Drosophila melanogaster: one gene and its partners. The protein of the gene in region 4 interacts with the protein of the main gene of each other region in a pairwise test. Each region holds a gene or a part of one and is shown on either strand. Other genes may lie near its edges. The genes, in order: CG13077, CG17036, Eglp4 and Obp58d.

The links.
Region 1: the proteins of Obp58d (region 4) and CG13077 interact in a two-hybrid assay, tested with the Drosophila melanogaster proteins (one large-scale study listed by BioGRID).
Region 2: the proteins of Obp58d (region 4) and CG17036 interact in a two-hybrid assay, tested with the Drosophila melanogaster proteins (one large-scale study listed by BioGRID).
Region 3: the proteins of Obp58d (region 4) and Eglp4 interact in a two-hybrid assay, tested with the Drosophila melanogaster proteins (one large-scale study listed by BioGRID).

What each region holds. Positions count from the first base shown.
Region 1 is NT_033779.5:19,562,917-19,569,055, reverse strand, and holds CG13077 (uncharacterized protein), read right to left. Parts: upstream 3,194-6,139; 5' UTR 2,921-3,193; coding exon 2,615-2,920; intron 2,549-2,614; coding exon 2,356-2,548; intron 2,071-2,355; coding exon 1,760-2,070; 3' UTR 1,697-1,759; downstream 1-1,696. Other genes in the region: spi (spitz), read left to right, coding at 59-763; CG13078 (uncharacterized protein), read right to left, coding at 4,050-4,718.
Region 2 is NT_033779.5:12,698,503-12,702,957, forward strand, and holds CG17036 (uncharacterized protein), read right to left. Parts: upstream 2,245-4,455; 5' UTR 2,013-2,244; coding exon 1,269-2,012; intron 1,205-1,268; coding exon 650-1,204; 3' UTR 501-649; downstream 1-500. Other genes in the region: PICK1 (protein interacting with C kinase 1), read left to right, coding at 1-319; CG5776 (uncharacterized protein), read right to left, coding at 3,388-4,455.
Region 3 is NT_033778.4:23,605,845-23,611,850, forward strand, and holds Eglp4 (entomoglyceroporin 4), read right to left. Parts: upstream 3,087-6,006; 5' UTR 2,963-3,086; coding exon 2,288-2,962; intron 2,208-2,287; coding exon 1,989-2,207; 3' UTR 1,748-1,988; downstream 1-1,747. Other genes in the region: Eglp3 (entomoglyceroporin 3), read right to left, coding at 1-132, 197-790.
Region 4 is NT_033778.4:22,703,695-22,709,360, reverse strand, and holds Obp58d (Odorant-binding protein 58d), read right to left. Parts: upstream 2,428-5,666; 5' UTR 2,414-2,427; coding exon 2,285-2,413; intron 2,229-2,284; coding exon 2,100-2,228; intron 2,046-2,099; coding exon 1,647-2,045; 3' UTR 1,589-1,646; downstream 1-1,588. Other genes in the region: CG30275 (uncharacterized protein), read right to left, coding at 36-163, 223-330, 385-678, 895-1,209, 1,269-1,537; Obp58c (Odorant-binding protein 58c), read left to right, coding at 2,701-2,742, 2,799-3,147, 3,208-3,416; Obp58b (Odorant-binding protein 58b), read right to left, coding at 3,793-4,004, 4,069-4,420, 4,604-4,651; CG30259 (uncharacterized protein), read left to right, coding at 4,963-5,103, 5,174-5,426.

The DNA of each region.
Region 1 (6,139 bases), on a different chromosome or scaffold from region 4:
CGTTGCACGCCAAAAAACGAACAAGCCGATACGCTACGCTAAAAAGCTACAAATTGTAATGCATTCCACAATGAGTGTACAACATGGGCTGGTTGCCCTGGTACTGATCGGCTGTCTGGCACATCCGTGGCACGTCGAGGCCTGCTCCAGCCGTACGGTGCCCAAGCCGCGCTCTTCGATCTCCTCGTCCATGTCCGGCACGGCATTGCCGCCGACCCAGGCTCCAGTCACTAGTAGCACCACAATGCGCACCACCACGACGACCACGCCCAGGCCCAATATTACATTCCCCACATACAAATGTCCGGAAACCTTCGATGCCTGGTACTGTTTGAACGATGCCCATTGCTTTGCGGTGAAGATAGCCGATCTACCGGTTTACAGCTGCGAGTGCGCGATTGGCTTTATGGGACAGCGATGCGAATACAAGGAGATCGACAATACTTACCTGCCCAAGAGGCCGCGTCCGATGTTGGAGAAGGCGAGCATTGCCAGTGGAGCCATGTGTGCCCTGGTATTTATGCTGTTTGTCTGCCTGGCCTTCTATTTGCGCTTCGAGCAGCGGGCTGCCAAGAAGGCCTACGAACTGGAGCAGGAACTGCAGCAGGAATACGACGATGACGACGGCCAGTGCGAGTGCTGCCGCAACCGGTGCTGTCCAGATGGCCAGGAGCCAGTCATTCTGGAGCGCAAGCTACCCTACCACATGCGGCTGGAGCACGCGCTAATGTCCTTCGCCATTCGACGCAGCAACAAGCTGTGAGCGGAGCGAACTATGGAAACTATGAAAAGATATAGAAAGTCGAATTTCGAATATGCCTTGCCCAACACACAATTCTTAACTGGGCTTTAGTCGATAGCTGATAACTCCTATTTACCTACCGCATGCTAAAGATCTGTTCACCCGATTCTATATAGAGATCTTGACTTTCTCTTACCAAAAGTTACCCAGAAAGGGGGTTTTAAAGCCAGACAGCCTTGTATTACCCAATTGACTATGAATTTTAATACCTAACGCTAGCTATTTATTATTACTGCTAACTGATATACGTATCACACACACAACGCGACACACGCGCCAAGTATTATTTATTGCGAGAGATTTAAGAAGAAATGATATGGATTTTCTAAATAAACATACGAAACTGCACCATGCAAAATACACGGTTTTTTAATTTAAGGTGCCGGAAGTCAAGATCTTCTTTTTACGGGGCTTCAAAAGTTTGGACTTATTTGGGACAGTTACTATCAATTATGCGGCCTCCAAGTGTCACAAACCGATCAGATAAAAAACCCGGTCATGTTTTGGATTTTAAAATGATGCATGCTACCCAATGCTGTTATAGGAAAATGAATAATAGTATAACTTAAATTATAAATGATCATAATTTTGATTGATTAATTCAAATGCTGGCTTTTTGAGTGAGCGGTTAAACTTAAATGCAAATTGCAGTGTATCTAATAGTCAATTCATTACTTTTTCAGACCTTATCAAATCAAATCAATCAAAAGGGTGGTTATATAACTTTTACAGGGGGGAGTACCGGACGATGAAAGTCTGACCGCTGGTTAACCGGGTTTTCCCTAATGAGGCATTGTAAAAATACTTAGTCATGTTTATGGATCACACGTTGTACCAATAAACAGGTATAAAATTTTGAATCGTTGTTGGTATAGTTGGATAGGTCGATAAAATGGGGTTTTAGAAAAAATTACATTTATTTATCTACATACATTCGAGTGATTCTTTTCATCCTATCTAAAACTGTTGCGATATATTTTTGCATTTCTGATAGAGTGCCTTCATCGGTCCGTAGCTCGACAGGACCAACGATATGAGGGTGAGGCACTTCATCAGGATTTGGAAATCCGTCTCACTTCGGCTCTTAAAGTAGCCCGTCTGGTAGCCATAGTACTGGGTCACCAGTGCGATCACAAAGCACGCGAATCCCAGGAAGTTGTGGAACGTCTTGTTCAGCAATGGTGTGATTAGCTTCTTGATGCGGCTGGAGAAAAGTGCAGCCAGTCCCGAGGACATGGCCAGAATGCACAGTACGAAGGCGGTCATCCCTGTTGGCGAGAAGGGAATCTATTAGTGAGTGCCTTTTAGGATTTTTGTTGCCTGTTAGGTGATCATTAAATGTACTACTAAAAAGATAGTAAGAAAGCGATAAAACTAAAGTAAATATGGAAAATGGGGGCGTTTGTTCAACAAATAACAAATTAAGTACTAGCTTAGACTGGGAAGCACCAAGAAATGGATCCTTGGAACTATTCTATTCCACTGTTTTATTCTAATGTATTAGACATCTGCTGCTATTTAATAGGCATTGTGCGTGTCTGTACTCTACTCACCCAGCCTCCCATGTGTCGATTGCAGCAAAAACCCCTTTTGAATCATCTTGATAAGAGCACCAGCTGCCCCGCAACCGCCTCCCAAAGTCAGGAGCACCCAGTGAATGGTGGTCTTCGTCTGGCGCTTGTATCCATTTGTCAGCACATTGCCGCCGTAGTGGATCATGACGCCCTCGGCCATGAAGAAGGAGAACTGTGGTGTGGAATGAAGATCTTCAGTGCCCGCTTAGACGGTGATGGTGATCCCCCAACTATTTACCCCGATGGTCACTAGCCAGGCATGCAGACCCGTGCCCGAGAGCCCCGTTCGCAGCGTGAGATAGGAAATATAGATGGTGATAAATCCAATGCACATCTGGTTGAGAACGTTAAGGAAGTACTCCAGTCTCTGGAGGCGATTCTCGGCCTCGTGGCCGGACAGGGAACCGTGGGCCATTTTCGAATAGCGACGCGGGGATTCGATCGGAATAAATGTGGGTCGGCGTGGCGTATCCGTCCGGAGCGTGCTGCCGTAGTCGGCGGATGTCTGAGTTCTACTAAGCACTGGCTGCTTACTCTCGGACATTGTGTAGTTTCAGTTTTCAGTTTTTCGCTTGCCGGCCTTTATCAGTGCGCGCTGGAATAATGTTATTTTCGTGTTAACATTCATACATTTGTCGACTGATAATAATGCCTGCCACTTTTCACAGACAAATTGCGGCAAATTTTTTATTATTGGCAAAACCAGTCGTGTGCTCAAGCTACGACAGCAATTAAAGTTTTAGAATTCGACCGATACGATACGCTCAATGAACTTGGTTAATCAAACCATTTGGTCGAATGTTTATGAGCAACTGGCGAAGCCATTCTTGCAGCGTCATTTACAAGTTGACTGGACTTGACCACAAGATTATTTAACTCGCCATTCCTATTCATATCGGTTTACGCTCCGGGAAGCTATCAAAGTGCAGCCAAAACCGCAACTAGACCTTCGCTCGTATGCCATTTTCAAATTTGCGATGCCGCGCAAAGTCTTGCTGCGATAGGTATTCGTTTCAATTTGCACTTATCAACACTAAACTAAAATTTAATGCAACAGTGATGGCCGTTTAGCTCTAAAATATCTATATATATCTAAGTCAATGTGCAATATTTGGTACTGCGTTGGTTCCTAAAAGTACGTTGCTTTTTATTGAGAGTTTCTTTTTTATTCCATAAAAAAACCCATAAAGAAAGCTTTAGAATTGGACGGATTGCCAACCCCTCAAAATACGTTGCATACCTAAATTGCTTATTTGGGTGCCATAACATTTATCTTTTGCAAGTGAGCGTATGCGTAGTTATCTTTTGCAATTACGTTTTTATACTTTAAGGTGCTACGTAAGCCCCCCTTCTCTTTGCAAGAAGAAAACCAAATATTTAATATTTATTTAACTGATAAAAGCAATTCTTGCTTGACATATTTTATTTTTTGACAGTAACACGGTCGTTTGTTTTAGTTAAATTGTGAAACACATTCTTTTTTTGGAACTTAGAGAAAAACCCAAAAAAACGATATATTTTAATGTAAATAAGTCGTAGTCATTTTTTATTTTTTTCTTAGTCATTTGATTTATCCTTATGATAACATTAGTTTAATATATAAATAGCAAATAGTCTAGCTTAGCTTAAGTGCACTATAGATATACAGGATTAGGGATAATCGACAGGCGTTCCTAACTGGCCAGGCTACCAATCTTCTGGTAGAGCGACTTAATGGCGCCAATGCTGGTTAGGACCATTAGGACCATAGTGACGACCTGCATGAGGACAACGAAATCCTGTCCTTGTCCCCTGAAAATTCCAGTCTGTGTGTATCCGTAAAACTGCGCCATCATGGCGATCACGAAGGCGGTGAAGCTGAGGACCACATGGAAGGTCTTGTTGACCAAGGGTGAGATGGTCCTGCTCAGGCATCTCGCCAGGAAGGCGACCAGTCCACTCAGCAATGAGATCAGACACAGGACGAAGGCGGCGAAACCCAGGCGGGCATGTAACGTGACGCTGATTGACCAATCGTCACGTATTAGTTGAATCAAACAGCCGGCCACGCCCATGCCTCCCCCAAGGATCTGAAGGACCACGTGAAAGGCAGTCTTGTAATTCCGGGAGTAACGCACAGTTAGCCAACTGCCGTCGTAGAAGCACATCATTCCCTCGGCCATCAGGAACACAAAACCGAAGGTAACCAGCCAGGCATGCAGGCGAATGCCCGAGAGGTCCTGGCGCAAGCAGGTCCAGCTGATCCAAATGGTGACGAATCCTATGCACAGCTGGTTGATCACATATAGCGCCGATTCTATATGCTGGAGCACTGAGGTTGGTTTTGTTTTGTCATCGCTCATTGTGGCGTTGCTTTAGAATTGTTTCACAGAAATTGTAATTGCAATTTCAAGAAATTGGTAATTGAAATTTCAAGAAATTGGAAATTTTAATTTTAATTTCACAAACACTGTTATTGTAGTTTAATTTCACAAAAGTTGTATGTTTTTAACCTAGTTTCATATAAATTCTAGGAAAAGATGCAACCTTTAAATTCCTATTGTAGTTGCCAGGAATCGCTTAAATATCCTTTTTAAGGATTCTTATTAATCGTTTTCCAATAAATAAATGAATAGAGCCTTTTGTTTCAAAATTCAAAGGATTTTTAAGGATTCTTCCTTATGTGAACTACCTTTTTCGACTATCGATCCGCCGTGCATTAGCTATTACAAGCCACTATGCGCAACTGAGGTTTTTATTGCCTTCACAATGGCTTTGTGACTTTCACTAGACTGACATACAATTTGTTTGCTATCGAGTTATCAGCGAAACATTTTGGGTGCCCCATTCTAATGCAGTTGACTTAAAGGATTATACAATATTATTGAGTGGTCGGGGCTGCATGTACACGTTCGCAGTATCGTCGGCGAGGAGATCTAATCGACCTTATCGACATCCATTCATTCACGCATCGATGCCGGGGCTTTCGGCACCGAAGTAAAACAGGATTACCATTCACGGGCGCTCGAATATGCGATCGCACTCACGTTGAACATTCCACGAAAACGTCATGAGCCGGGGTCTAAATTTAGAGGGGTTATTAATATTAATTAGACTCTCGTCACTCGAGTGCTCGCCCACTCGCGATCCACTTATTGATAATATACATAATACTCATGTAGTCCTCCTGTCGGATCGCAAGTCAGCAGCGCCTTATCGGAATGCAAAATCGCACGTACCAGATAAAAGTTACCACCTACTTGAAAATATAGAAACATTGTTGATGTCTTTGGGCCAAATGTCTGAGCAGGCAAGTTGAACCTTAGCCAGTCAATAAGTCACTAAGACCGAAACAGATAGATTCTGAACCATCCACGCGCCTTAAGCACTGTGGTTGTGATAAACCATACTCATTTTGATCAAATTAGCTAGCGCAATGTTTACAAATACTTTTTGCTGACTCAGCGGTTTCATATCGGCGATCTGACATTGAAGGTGATTAAGGTATATTGGATTTGACTTTGAGTAGTACCATAAAAATGCGGGCTATTGGAAGCGTGGTGCCCTGATTAATATGACACGGCTTGATTTACGAGGCTGTGGACTCAAGACTGGAACTTTAAGTGCCTTTAAAGTCGTCGAGCTCCAATTTTAATATTGATAATATTCGGTTGCCTTCCGGCCATAATTATCATAGATAACTAAACTGGAAGGCTTAAAATTGGTCACTTCATGTGTTATGTACGCCTCGACGGGAATGCATTTGCTTTCATTCTTGGCCAGA
Region 2 (4,455 bases), on a different chromosome or scaffold from region 4:
TTCGCAAGTCGATTGCGGTTTCGAGGCTGTCGAACAGCCGGCGGCAATTATAAATGTGGAAGCGGCCAAGGCGTCCGTTGATTCGTCCACCTTACAATCCGCCAGCGAGAACGAAACGTTGCTCAAGGAGCTGGGCCTGTACGATGTGGATCTGCTCTCCAATCCGCAGACCATTAGCAACCAAAAGGACTCCATTGCTGCCCAAAATGATGGCTACGATTTCGACTTGTTCTTGAACCAGGCGACTGCAGCCACCACCAGTTTGGAGCGCGATCTCATGTCCTCGAATGCGGAGGAGATGGACCTGCTACTGCAATAGGCTACTTAGTACAAATATTAAGTAATGTGTTAGATAAATATTAAATGTTTCAGTATTTGGTGTAGATATCAAAAAATATTAAAAGCCTTTCAATTTAATAGTAGCTTAGACTTTCATTTATGTTTTATTTCTGTAAAGTTTAACTTTATGGAAAGCAAATTCTTTGCTCAACAACTGATTTAACTTTTTACCTTTGTACTAGTTTGTTTAATTGATGGAATTTCTTATATACTATGTTGTTTGAATAAATAAGATAGTAAATAAGAAGTCCTGTATTTACAAACTTGCACATTTCGTCCTGTTTTGATTTGTGTAAAATCCTATATTATCTTATGTTAAAGAAACCACATTTTCCACACTCGACTTGTTAGTCCTGCAAAACAGTTTCACGCAGATAGACCCAATTATGGATATTCCACCCAAGACCACAAAGTAGCTACCGTAAACCACGTACTGATCCCGCGGCTCCAGAGCGAATCCAACTCGCTCCACAACCGCAACGGTCAGAATAGTCTGCAGGATCAGACCCACCAACGTATTGATACCGAAGATCAAGCCGAAACTGTCCTCCACCAGATTCTCGGCCACCACGGCACCCGCCACCGTGATGATGAAGAAGAATACGGTGCAGAAAAGCACATAGTTCACGTAGGCCACCCAGATCAACTGCGTCTTGGCGGCATAGATGAGCAGAGCGCCCAGGGCAGCGGCACAGATGGATATGCCCATCATATACGATCCCCGTCGCTTATTGGAGTTCAGCAGGCCCGCCAGAATGGCTCCAATAGCACCCAGCAGCGTGGCCACGGCCTCCACTCCGCCATTGTAAACACTGAGCTTATTCGGTGCCACCTCTTTCCACAGGAACTGGATGTAGGAGATCACCTAGAGGATTTAACATAATTAGTTTATTACACACTTAACTTCTTGCAATAAACGGCCAACTTACTTGAACTTGACCACAGGTGGCCAATGCCCACCATATGCTCCACTGCAGCACGACGGGATTGGAGTAGGAACTAACGAGGTGGTACCACAGCAGGCGGCATGCGTTGGCAAAGGAGAACTTTGGTGAGGTCTCTTCTCCGTCGGCAATGGTAATCTTCTCGGAACCCGCGTAGAAGTAGAGGCTACGCGGCACACTGGGCAGGAACAGGGACACGGCCAGGGAGATTAGCTGCGTGGCCAGCGAGAGGTAGTGCAGCTGCCGGTAATCCATGCTATCGGTGGACACCAAAATCTGGGCAAACAGGCCGCCGAGGAACTTGCCGCTCAAGATGGCAGCTCGCGTGTGGCCCGTGACTACCTGATACTGCTCCTTGTTGACCTTGGCGTACATGTACGTGTAGTAGGCCACCTCAGCGGCCGTAAAGGTGCCAAAAAACACTTGGGCCACCTGCAGCATTCCCACGGTTTCCGTCCAGATAAGCATGGAGAACAGGGTAATGCCAGCCAGTGCCGATAGCACGATAACCGGTTTGTACCTCACCAGATCTGTGATGAGGAACACAATTACCAGCTGGGCCAGCACCGAGTACGTGCCGAAGGGATACACATCCTGATAGATTTGATCCGTCGTCAGGTTGCCATAATCCGAGGCTAGGTACTCTGTGACGTACGGCTCCGAAGGTCGAAACTCCCGGAAAAAGCCAAACGTGCACAGCAGCAGCGAGATCTTCAGCCAGCTCTTCATGTCGTAAATTGCGATACCAGGTGGGCTGTTCGCATGGAGACTCGAAACTCCAAGCTCCAATCCGGCGCCAGTTGTTTCGCCAATTGATAAGTGTCGTAACCAACGCGACGAACGCCAGCCGGCAACTGATCGCGCGAATCAAGAGCGCCTGGTAGCCCATCGCTCTCCGCCAAAGCGGCTACAGTGGTGGCCAGCAGTATTCACCCACAACAACCGGAAAACCAGAATCAGGTGAATTTTAAGGGGTTCAAAAAAAATCATAAGAAAACAGCAACATTCAATATGACAGGCATATAAAATTATTTCCAACGATTACTACAACTATACAATCAACTATATTATCACAAAAAAATATATATTTAATATACTTAAAAAATAAACTATCAACAAATAGTATTATTTTTAGAAGAAAAACGCTATATAAAATATATTTTACATTCAATATTTCAAAAGTTGTTGGAAAAGATATGCACATATGAACTTATATCCAAAGCACTGCAAATTCGTAAAACAATTAATTTAAGCTACTGTTGGGCCATAAAATTCGTATATTGTTTAATATATTTACACACATACATACAAATGTTTAAATCATGCGCCCAAGTTCAATGACCGTTAACTGTTAATGCTAGGGCCACTAAAAAACATAACTTAATATTGATTTTGGTGTTATTCACAAAATTGAACACTTCATATATTTATGGCCGCTACTGTACGAGTATGACCTCAAAAGACCGTGAAATATACATTTATCTACATTCAATTAATTTGGAGAATTTCTATAATTACAACTTGACAAATTTATAGATTTGGTTACAGATCACGGAGCAGTGAAAGTTGTAAATTTTAAATAAGTTTTATTTCGGTAATTGTCGAGTAAGCAAATTTATCGCACAGCAACAAAAATTAAGATTCTTGGATTGTTCCCCATCAATTTATTGACAATTAAGTGACGCATTAATTGGAAATTTGTTGAAAGCTCAACGTTTGCTCTTGATATTCACAATCGAGAGAATGATACTCTTTGAATTTAGAGGTTAAAAATAGAGCATTCAAGTTATCACCGATAGTTCTGCTATAGCCATCTTATCTTTGTAGTCTAATCTGCAGGCACTAAATATGAATTTCAGAACTGTCTAAACACCAAAGTCGACCCTCTAATCGGTTCTACTTTACATAACTTACATAACTACATACATAACTCCGATTTGAAGGCTGATCGAGTGAACAGATTTTGGAGAGCTAATAACATGGTAATTTGTTTAAACAAATTAAGCAGATTTGCTTTCGGTAATCTTATCGTCACTGTTTTGCGGATTCTTCACAATTAATCTTAAAATAGTTCTAAAGTCAAGGTTCCCCTGAGTTGTTTAATCTACTTCCGTTTGAGGTAATCTTCGTAGAGTTTCAACAACTCTGGAGAAGTCCGCGGAGGCACCGCCTTCAAGGCGTGCTCGAAGTCCGTCCACTTGACATCCTCCGCTTCGAAGCTTTGCTCCAGGGCTCTCAGGGCAGCCTCATGGCATACGGCTTGTATTTCTGCACCGGAATATCCCTCCGTCAGCTGCACCAACTTCTCCATGTCCACATCGTTTGATATCGGCATGGCACGCAGTTTGATCTTTAAGATCTCTCTACGTGCTTCACATTGCGGTAGTCCCACGTAGAGAATTCGATCAATTCGGCCTGGACGAAGCAGTGCCTTGTCGATCATATCTGGACGATTGGTGGCAGCGACTATGGTGACATTTTGCAGTGCCTCCACGCCATCCAGTTCGGTGAGCAGTTGCGTGAGGACGCGCTCTTTTACGGACGAACCAGAGCTGGATCCGTCGCCCTCCGAACGCTCGCCACCGATGGCGTCGATTTCGTCGAAGAAAACTATGGCGGGTGCCACCTGGCGAGCCTTTCGAAAGACCTCACGCACCGCTCGCTCCGATTCGCCCACCCACATGGAAAAGAGCTCTGGTCCCTTGATGGACAGAAAATTAAGCTTGCTCTCGGTGGCCAGGGCCTTGGCAATCATGGTTTTCGAGCAGCCTGGCGGTCCAAACATGAGGATACCCCTGGGTGGCTTGATACCCAGGCGTTGGAACTTATCCGCGTGCAGCAGTGGCCACTCGATGGCCTGCTGCATGGCCAAACGTAGCTCGGATTGACCGCCAATGTCGGACCACTGCACATTGGGACACTCGATGAGAACTTCACGCATCGCCGATGGTTTAATGCGGGTCAAAGCCGCCTGTAGATGCGGCATCTGTAGAGGATTCGGTTGCGCCTGCAGCATGGCAGCGTAAACGAGATTTGCTAAGTCTGCTCCCACGTAGCCATGGGTAATAGATGCAACGTGCTCCACTTCCTCATCGCTCAACTGATGCTCCACTGACTTGATGAGGCATCGTACAATTTCCAGCCTTGCCTGAGAGCTGGGTGCACCCAACTC
Region 3 (6,006 bases), 900 kb from region 4:
ATAGATCAGCGAGGTCACAGCTCCTGCCACCAAAGGACCCACCCAGTAGATCCAGTGGTGTGCCCAGGAGTCGTTCCAAACAGCTGGACCCAGTGATCTGGTCGGATTCATGCTGGCTCCCGTGAAGAGACCCTAAAAGCAACAGACTTCCCATTAAGTAACACTTCGCAACTTTGAAACGCACCGAAATACCAACCGCTGTGAGGATCAGACAGGAGACGGTGAGACCGAATCTCACGGGCACCGAATCCTGCAGCTTGGCGTTCCGTGGATCCCACACCGAACAGGCCACCATGACCAGGCAGCAGGTAATGAGGAACTCGATGAAGACCCCCTGAAGTACGCTGATTCCGGGGGCCAGAATTGTCACACAAACACCCGACGGGTTGTCCACACCCTTGATGGAGTTCCCAGGCAGAACAGCCACCAGGAGACCATAGCCTATCAGGGCTCCGGCAGCCTGGGCCACAAAGTAAGCAATGGCCCGGATCCAACCGATTGCGCCGTAGAGCCAGGCAGCCAGGGTGATGGCCGGATTTAAGTGGGCACCGGAAACGGAGCCGAAGCACTGGATGGCGATGAGAATGGCCAGGCCGAAGGTGAGGCCACTGCGAAAGTGCGAATTCTGGAACAGCGGCGTTTCCACACAGCCCATGCAGGCTATGAAAACGAAGACGGCAGTCGCCGCCAGTTCACCGAAGAAGCAGGCTATCGCACTCCTTTGGTGTCCTTCCAGGCGCCACCTGGCGTTCGGATTGGACTCCTGCGATTTTTGCTTCTGTTGCGACATGCTGACGGAACTCTACTGCCGCAATTTTGGGCGGCTGCCCAAGTGACCCAACGTGCCAGCAAAATTTACGGCAATCAATCAAAATCCATTATAAAACCTTAATGCTAATTATCGAGCGCAGATTTGGGAGCAGCTCCCGCCCACCCATTCAGGATGGATCAATCCATCAAGGCGATTTTCGGGGGGCTTTGCTCAGCCGTAATTATCGGCCTGATAAGCGCCACTGCCATTTCGCCCGATTTGTGCTCAATCTTATCTCATTAAGATCTTTATCGAACGGCGAACGGGGTCGCCGAGACCTGGCCAATACTCGTACTTCTTGTGTGCCAGCCAGTGTCTGAATCGCTACAACAAGGCCAATAAACCTGGCCTATGGTGTTCGAAAGCTACTCGAAGGAATCACCCCGTGATTTCCAGAAATTCCAGAAGAGTGATGCAAATCCAGCATTAGCATATCACCCATAGCACATAGTCCCCTTTAAACCACATAGAACCACATATATCATTTGTGCTTCGTATACGGACTATAGACCCGAATGGAGTACGTAACGTACAATAACTGCATATTGTTGGTATATTTTGGCTTTATTTGGCTGATACGCGCGTCTCATTCGCAGCCTGCTGATAACGTTTTTTAGCCACCATTTGATTGGTCGATTTGGAGGTACTAAGATATTCGAATATCTTATGAACAGATTTTCCAAAGACCGCTTAAGCTGATGGGCTTTTTTCACTTTCGATTCCTGGAAAAAGCTTATTGGTATTTTTAAGCCCGGAAGTTACTTAGAGCTAATCAAAGCAAATACCTCGTTATTGAAGAATGAAAAGCTTTTAGATAATATGGACTCAACATGTTTTAAGATGGCCCAGAAGAGCAGAACTTCAGGTATCAAATAACTACCAATATCTTGTGTAGAATTTCTTAAAACCATAAAAATAATTTACTTGTTTTGTTTTGGTTTTAGATTAAAAATCTCGATGTTCTTTATTTCTGAAGGCAATTAGTGTTTTCACCAAGACGTTTATCGTTTCAAGGGCTTATGTAAGTGTGTGCACTTGGTTCGCCTTTTGAAACGTTCGAGCCACTTTGTGAAGACACTGCTAACATTAGCGTACAACGAATGCATTATTTTAAAATTCGGCATCTTAGATATTAACTAAATTAGTTAGGGCTTTTCCTACAGCAATGTCTTTGGCCTTACGACAGCTGGACGTCCTCCAGTTGCCGCAGCTTCTCATTGGAGGTGATCTCCGCCTCAACCACCTCGCGGCGGAAGACGACCTTGTAGGCGTAGGCGGTGATGGCGGAGGAGCTCAGCGGGGCCAGCCAGTAGATCCAGTTGCTCTCGAAGTGCTTGTTCCACAGGGCGGGGGCGAACGACCTGGCCGGGTTCATGCTGCCGCCGGTGAAGGGACCCTAAAACCAATGGTAGGGAACGAGGTTAATAATCCGTTTCGAGGCAGGTAAGGATTAGCCAACTGTTCGCTTTAACTTACGGCAGCGCAGGCGAGACAGGCGATGGCCAGGCCAAATCGAATGCCCACGGAGTCATGGAACTTGGAGTTGCGCGGATCCCACACTCCGCAGCAGACGATGACCAGGATGGAGGTGATTACGAACTCGATGCCGAGGGCCTGGCCCGTGGTTACGCTGGTGTGGGGCAAGGTCACGCAGAGCCCAGCGCCCACCGTAAGTGTGGGCGAGGGAAGCAGGACCATGAGCAGGCCGTAGCCGATGAAGGCGCCCAGCATCTGGGCGGCGAAGTAGGCAAATGCCATGCGCAGGGTGACCATCTCGTAGATGTAGGCGGCCACGGTCACGGCGGGATTCAGATGGGCACCGGAGACGCAGCCAAAGCACTGGATGGCGATGAGGACGGCGAAGCCGAAGTTCAGCACAATCTGCAGATGGTTGTTGGGAAAGAGGTCCGTCTTCACGCAACCCATGCAGCCCAGGAAGACCAGGATGCCGGTGCCGATGAGCTCGCCGAGGAAGGCGGAGATTTTGTCCAGCGTCGATCCCTTCATTTTGAAGACCTTACAGCAACTGAAATGGTCAGAGAAGCGCTTGAATAATGCCACACTAAAAAGCGAGCTACCCTCTCTGTCGCACGCCATCGTCCATCTCTTTCTCGACTCTAAGTAGACCTGCTTAGGAACTTCATCAATCATATCCTATCTAAGACCATCCTATCGTTTCGCAAAGCCCTCCTCGATTTGCACCTAATCCCCGCGACACACTTCTACAATCTCAACTATTGTGCAACTTTGTAGTTAGTTTGTCAAGCTTCTAGACCTTTGCAACTGCTGTTCTCCTTCGGCTGCCTGGACGATTTCCTGCTGGTTTTCCACCCCTTGCGGATCCATCCCCTGCTGCTCGAGGTTCATTGACTTGGCATCGATTTTCCAAACACCCTTTTTTGGAAGCACAACTTATGCTGCTGATCCGACAAACGATGCCTGCTGCGGGAATGCCATCGATGGCTGGACTGACATGAAGTAGCCGTGTACTAAATATAGTAGACTTGTGATTGCCGTTCGGCTGTCAATTGGGTTTATAGATAAATGGCCGAAAAAATGCGAATCAAATCACGACATGGCCATAAAACAATAACCAATCTTTTTCAACCTTATCGCCTGAGCGCCACTCGAGTCAATTGGAGTTCACTACGTTGCGAATTAATCCGTTTATTGTGATTGGTAAATCCCTCTTTCTGGTAGCCAGAACTCTTGTTTTTTGTTTTTTGAATTTCTTTGGTTTCGAGTGCCAGATAATTACCGAATCTCGTGGCTCATTTTGACACTTGTCCAATTCTTTGAGATCGCACTATATAATCAATCTTTTCCGTAGCTGGTGAAAATTCACAAAGCGGCAGCGCGACTGTCAATGTCAATCTGAGGCGGTGGAGTAGCCATAGGCAAATATTTATATCTGTGTCTATATAATATTGCGTAAATCAAAAGCCCATTTTTAGCCCCTGTGAGAGAGCAGCAACACACACAGATACACACACACACATATGAAGGGGACCGACCACAAGCACACACACACACACACACACACAAAGGCGTGGAAATTAGCGAATCCTACTGGTGAGCATAAAAAAGTCAAGTGTCCAGAATTTATGAGCATCTTAAACGCTCATTCGCTGCTCTCGTTCGCTTTTGCGATTATCTCTGGAGCGATGCTCCTTCTCGCTCCCACTCTTCCTTTACCAGTCACCTGGCTTAAATCATTATAAAATGGTAGAAACAATACGGATGATATTCCATGGAAACAAGGTTAGATATTAACACTTGGTGTGCAACTGACATACTGGTTTTGCTCTATCGAATTCATTCGACTTATTCACAGCATTTTATGAGAATTATAATATTAAAGGTGGTCCTTACATTTGTTTTTTAAGTAAATTATCATTTTCATTTAACTTGTTTCTTACTATTTGTTTGCCATGAGAAAGGCAAATCTGCTAAGCAATGATTGCTAGAATTAGTAGTAACCATAGTTCCTAAAATACGACATTTTCATTGCGTGTCATTCAAACTTAGCACTAAACTGTAATTGATAGCGAAAATCCCCATAATTATTTTCAGTGTAGTTGGTCGGTGGGCGGTGGGCATAACACTGTTATGCTGTGCAAGTGCGTGACGCGCTCGCAATTGAAGCAGGCGGCATATTGCGTATTGATAACAGCAGAGTGGCACACTATCAATTACCACCGTCGCTTCGATTCCTATCAATTGCAATTGCTGCAATTGAGGATGCGTTGCGTGAATCGGGCTACCACGCAATGTGGCAAACAAATCACGGCAAATCTCGGCACGCCTGTCGATCAAATTGCACGCAATTTGCGTAGTTATGTGTCTCAATAACAATTGGATCGTCAATAAATAATAACAATTTAAAGCAAATATTTTCAAAAGCCCTGCTGTTGCACACACACCCAGTACACACAGTGGCTCAGGTGATCAGAACTTTTGACCCTCACTGACCACGCCTAATGTTTTCCATTGCTTTCTCGCCATAACACACATTGGCATTGCCACAGAAAACGGTGGAGAAAATAGCACTGCTGGTTCATTTGCGTTTTGGCCCTTGGCCAACGGCAAATGTTTGTGTTTGGCCAACTCATTGACAGTTGGTTGGTCAAAAGAGAGCGACACGTTTTGGCAAGAGACAAAGAGATTAAAGGCAAAGCAGTAAACACGCGATGGATCGAAAGTTTAAAAATAAATCAAACACACCATCCGATCGGCAGCACAATAATAATAATAATAATTTAATTACCACCTGCACCTTTATCATATTTTCCATGCCCAGAAGGATCACGTATCATCCATGGGATCGCTGCATGGGCCACGATTTTCAATGGCCCGAGGGCCTAATTGACAACAAACCCCGTTTGGGATGATGGATCTTAATTATTATGATCCATTCTCAGCGTTTGTCTAAGTGATGGGACGTGACTGGGCGTTTCTACGTTCATATTTTGGGGAGTGCTAATCGCTGATGTTAACGGAAGTGGGGACTGTTAATTAACAGAGCGGTGCGATAAGAACGGGCGACTCCTCGGAGCTTCTCAAAAGCTCAGCTGCTAGGATGCGCAACTTTAACGAAGCTTCGATCGTTAGCTTTCGGCGAGCTTTTCGATGAGCTTCCTTATCACGCGGCATTATTATTAGCTAATTATGACTAAGTTGGTAATAGAGTGATAAGCCTTCGGCCAGAAGCTCGTCGTAAAAAACTTGTTAGCCTGAAGAACAGCTAATCAATCCGTGCCGATAAGCCTCACCCGCTGTTTGCTGATAGCTGTGGCTGTAGCTGCTTAAGAAGTGATTTTTGCTAGTGGCCCTAAAATGTTGGCCATAAACCATACGCCGCAACCACTGTCACTCGCACTGATAACCGATATCGAGCTGAGTGAGTGGTGATGGTGTATTGGGATTGGCGGTGTCTGGCGGCGCAATATCACAGGCTTAATTTGGCCATAATTGGGCCAACTCAAATCGGATTTACTCGTCAGACTTTTGACATCGCCCCGCATTTACGGCTCTTCCAAAGTGCGATAGTGATCGGTTGCCGACTTATTGATGTGCAACAACAACAACGTATACCCCTTTATGGCATTCCAATTGCCAGCTGGATCGTAATTGAAGCTCATTATGGTGCCACAGGCGGAAGCCTTAGTGCCCATTGACCAAGATCCATGGCAGCC
Region 4 (5,666 bases):
TGAACGGAGCATCCGGCATTCGCAGTACAACTCACTCTCAAGAATGTACTTGAACTTGGAGTACAGACATTCGCGCATGTAGAACTTATTTTCATTCGCCACATTTGTATCCACAATTGTGCCGCCAATGGAGCTGACCTTCATCTTACCCAGGCTGGCCACGCTGTTGAGAAATATAAATCATTGTGGATATTTGCCTTACAAATTAATAAATAATCACACCTCATACCGCTGTCAACCTTTTGCAGTCCTCCCAGAATCGTCACCGCATTCAGATCGTCGAGGGCATCTGCGGTGAACATGCTAGCCTCCGCTCTTCGCTGTACCGATCTGCAGGACAGTCGGTAAGGAATTACTCTTTCCGCACGTAAAGCCATCACTTACGACACCGTCATCGTCTCGTAGTGGAAGGACCTTCCATCCGCTGGCTTCACCAGATTGCCAAATTGTTCCATCTCGTAGTTGCGCACATAGAACATAATGTCTATATCCGAGGACAGCCACAGAAAGATGGCCATTTCTGACTCCTGCGACTGATTGATTGTTTCGGCCACAACAAGCATACTCTTCGGATTCTGTCCCATTACCTCCTCGGCAATGTAGTAGTCGCCCAGCTCCTCTCGCATTTCTGGGTTCTCGACCTCTTGCATTGCTATAATATCGTCGTTATCTTCGGCCCTTCATGGGAAATATTTAAAACAAAACAAGAATGTTATTGAAACAGTTTCTTCAAATGCCTAACAATATCTAACAATATCTTAGTAGGCGATATCGATTTCAGACAAACTGATTAGTAGTCTGCTGCTTTTTAAGAGGCATTTGAATTTAAAATTTCAAATGCTATTTCTGATATAGTATACAATTTGAACAAGGAGCACAAAGAACAGAGCTTACAGTGCCTTCCGGTAAGTAATCCTCGGCAGAATTACGAACCTATCCACAATGTACAGGGACTGTGTGTTGTTATTCTTATCCATGCTATATTCCAGCGGGTAAAAGACCTGGGATATTTTTTCCAAATCATCGAAGGTTTCCACAAAGTGGATGGGTTGTGGCACATACGGACACCTAACAGTGATCAGAAACCACACCCTGCTCTCCCTGTAGAGCACATCCTTTATGATCTCAACCAGAACCGGGGACTGATCGCTCTTGTAGACGCAAAAGTTGAAAAACAACGCATTCAGCCAGCTAATGGACATGGATAGGCTAAAGGATATATCGGAAATAGATGATATATTCAACGTTTTAAGTCCTTGTATCAGTACCAGTATCTGGTGGACAACCATTCCAACCAGCAATCCGTGGGCAAAGCGGCAATGGAGGGATAGTTACGGAACTCGGCATAGGCCACCAATGCGGAGGATTCAGTGCAAAAAGCCAATATCCTGTAGGTCTGATAGGAATTGAACAGGGAGTCCTTGCCACGAAATTTCGGACGGATATTGCCGAACCACTTGACACCTGGCGATCGAATCAGCTTGTTGAGCCCATCCTGGTCTCCCGCTTGAGCCAAGCGAATCTGAAACTGATTCATCAGTGCGAATAATTTATGTGTGTGGTGTGTGATTAAAACTAAAAAACATACTGCGTTTATAAGCTTAATTTTATTACATGACATTTTTGAGTTTTTTTAATACGTATTCTTAGGCAGGACTCTTTGTGGGCAGTGTAATTCCATCTATTTGGTAGCATTCGGCTTTGGCATTTTCGCACATATCCTTAGTTCCTGCCTTGGCAGTGCCCTCCCACCGGAAGTAGGGACACTCGTGCTTCTGATGATAGTCACTGATGCACATGAATACCATCAATAGATAGGGGCGACAGGCTCCTTTCAGGAGCACCTTAGCCCCAGGACTGGCCTTTAAAAGGTTGTAGACCCCAACAGCATCCTTGCGACAGAACTCGAACATGGCAATGTGATAATCCTTCTCCTTGGGCCGATCCACAAATGTCTTTTCTGCATCCAGCTTGACCATCTTCATGTTGATGGTGTCGCTCTTACCAATGTACTTCTTTTGCTTGTACAGGCACTCCACAAAGCACTGAAGATACAAATATTTTCGTTATAATAGATATATAAAGCTTTAATTACCTACCGATAGAAACCTCAGTGTCTTGCCGATGTCAGCGTCCCCATCCACTGGCAACTTGGGTGAGTGTATAACGAAGCACTTGACCAGGTCCTCCTCTTCTCCTATATAAAGTTCAGAACAGCAGCCAGCCCTCTAAATTGAATTTTTAGACTTAATACGTTTGCTGTTCGGTTTTAAAGTAAGCTCACCGATGTGTTACACTTATCCTCAGTCAAGTCACCTGAAGATATGGCAACTGCAGTAGTTTCCTCATTATCCTGAGCCTTTGAAACGGCCACCAGAATTAGGAACGTCCAATAACAAACAATGTTGACCATTGCTTTTCGAATGTGATTAATTTACCATGGTCATAACATTTATAAAACCATGCGTGCTCATCATTTTGGATAAATGAATTTAAACCCAAATTGGATTGCTTAATTAAATGTAACAAATGTCCATTGTAATGACTGGAATTAAATGAGCGGATAAAGAAACATTTGCAGACAGTCTGATGGCTCGACATTTGGCAAATTGGCAGCGGTTTCCTGTTTTTATTTAAACGATATGTGGGTGACTATATAAGCTGTCGTAGTGGGCTGATTTTGGTATAAACGGCGGAGCAATGAAGTGCACCATTTTATTGAGTTTTTTCAGCCTGATTTGGGTGAGTTCGAGGAATGAAATTCACACTGTTTATATATATTCAAATACATGACTTAGTTTGCTGGTGGAATTAAAATTGATTGCGAGAATACGGAGGCCATTAACGAGGACCACATCCACTATTGCTGCAAGCATCCCGATGGACACAATGATCTAATCGAAGGATGTGCCAGGGAGACCAATTTTACGCTGCCCAATCAAAACGAGGAGGCACTGGTGGACATCACGGCGGACCGAGCCATCCGAGGCACTTGTTTTGGCAAATGCGTCTTTAGCAAACTGAACCTGATGAAGGACAACAACCTGGACATGGATGCCGTGAGAAGTTTGTTCACTGAAAGGTTTCCCGACGATCCGGAATATGCCAAGGAAATGATCAACGCCTTTGATCATTGTCACGGCAAAAGTACAGAGTTGTTATTTCAGCAAGAACTTCTTGGCTAACTGATATTTTTTTCACCAAAAGGCGAAGAGAATACCTCCATGTTCCTGTCGAAGCCCCTCTTCAAGCAAATGTCCAAGCAATTCTGCGATCCGAAGTCTAGTGTCGTCCTGGCCTGTGTCATCCGCCAGTTCTTCCACAACTGCCCGGCGGATCGCTGGTCGAAGACCAAGGAGTGCGAGGATACCCTGGCCTTCAGCAAGAAGTGCCAGGACTCGCTGGCTACTTTGTGAATAATGAGAATATCATTCTTCTGCAATAAAGAACATTAAATTTACGATTTACGACATTCGAATTATTTTGTTTAGATGAAAAAATGTTATGCATTCAGAATTATTCTGTATATTTGGATGTTTTTTTTTTTATAGGGATGTAATGGTAAACAAATACGATCAACTTGACATTAGTTAATATCGTATTTTTGCAAGTGATTTGATAACAATAAATCCATTTAATTAAATGTATTGCTGAGTTGGCATTCAATCACCCACCATTACTTATAAACCAAAAGAGCACATGAATTGAGAGCCATTGTTTTGCTTTAATCATTGGAAAATCATTTCGTTTTCCCAATTAAAATGTATTTCCTGAGGCAGGACTCTAAAGTGCTTACATAGTAGTCAGCACATCCTTGCACTTCCTAGCAAAGGCCAAGGTTTCCACGCACTCGGTGGTATTTGACCAGCGACTCGCTGGACAATTGTGGAAGAAGTTGTAGATGACGCAGGACATGATGATACTCGAGGTCGGCTTACAGAACTTGGCGGTGGAGAAGGCCCTAACAATTGGAAGTGATAGGAACTTTTCGGTGGCCTCTTCAGCTAAAATTTGGAATGGAAAAATTCAATTTTAAACTATGTTGATGGTTATTTTGCATGAGCTCACATTGTGTGTGACATTTTTCGTAGGCATTCAGCATTTCAGTCGCGTACTCCGGATCTGTTTGATGGTACCGCTTGTAGTACGAGCGCACCTTGTCCATATCCAGTGTGTTGTTCTCCATCAGATTGTAGTGATCGAAGACGCACTTGGCCCAGCAGGTTCCAACCATCGCCTGGTCCACGGTCACATCCACGATGGCCTCCTCATTGGGACTGGGCAAACGAAAGTTGGTCTGCTTGGCGCAAGATTCCGTGACATCGTCGTGGCCATCCTGATGTTTGCAGCAATGGTGGATGTTCTCCTCGTGAATACGCTCCATGTGCCGGCAATGAACTCGGACAGCCACGAGTCCATTCTGCATAGAAATATGCACATATTAAAGGATTAAAAAGTAGCTCGAATACGGATCCCCGATGGACCTTGAACTTTCAAAATTATTATGTACAATAAATCCGATCTAGTGTGGATAATCCATTAAAAACACCCTCGAACATTATCCAATCCAGAACAAATTGAAAACGGTGTTATGAGTACGTACCAAGCGCAGTGATATAATCACACAAATCACGAAACCAATTCTCAGCATGATGACAGCTTTCCAGCGGTTCGTCCTCAGTTTTATATGTCAAATGGTTCCCCTTTGATGGACAGCCCTAATGGCGTTTTCCACTGTTTCGCATTAATTTAATTCGCATCCATTATTATGGCAACAAACCTGGCGACGAAAAGCGAAATTATATGGAGTGGGTGGGCTAGTGAATCTTGTCATGGCAACGCCGGCAGTCAATTTATTATTTATTTTCCAAGGCGGCTCTTTGCTCGCCTAATTAGTCAGAGATTGGCCTTTGAAATTTGATAAGCTGATTTTTGGTAGCCGTAAAAAAAAAAAACTAAATCATGGGCAAAAAGGGTAAAGGAAAAGGCAACAAATTGGCCAACATGTCCGAGGAGGAGCGGGCCAGGTATTTGCAAATGAGGGCCGACATGGAGGAAGAGACGAGGCGGCGGAAAATGCAGCTCATTTCCATGTACATGAAGGTAACACACCACGAATTTGCAGTAAATCAAAATCAAAATCCCTATGGTATGACTTTTCCCATTAAAATAGAACAAACTGAAAAGAGAGGATGCTTTTGGTCGACTCAATATGGCTAAAATCAACCAGGAGTGGCGGAGCATTTTGCGCCAGGTGAAAATCCAGGAGCTGCGCCGCGAAATCGTCGATGTGGAGTCTTTCTTTCAGGAGGCACTTAAGCGCAAGGACCAGGTGATCCATCGCCTCATTGCTCACATAGAATCCACCGAGGATATGTACGCCAATCTGCAGCAGTCACACATGGAGAATATCACCAGGATAGTTGGTACGATTGGGATAACATCCTTAAAAATAACATTTTAATCAGAAACTAAATACACAGCTACAGCAATATGTTTAAAGATACTTAAAATGAATGGAATGGATTTCACATGTATATTAATGCTTTCGTTAATAAGAACATTGAAATATTTGGAAATCCAAAAATTACTGGAGTATTTTGATGTACATTTTATGAACAATAAGAAGCATTGTAAAATGAAAATTAAAATGGACACAAACCATT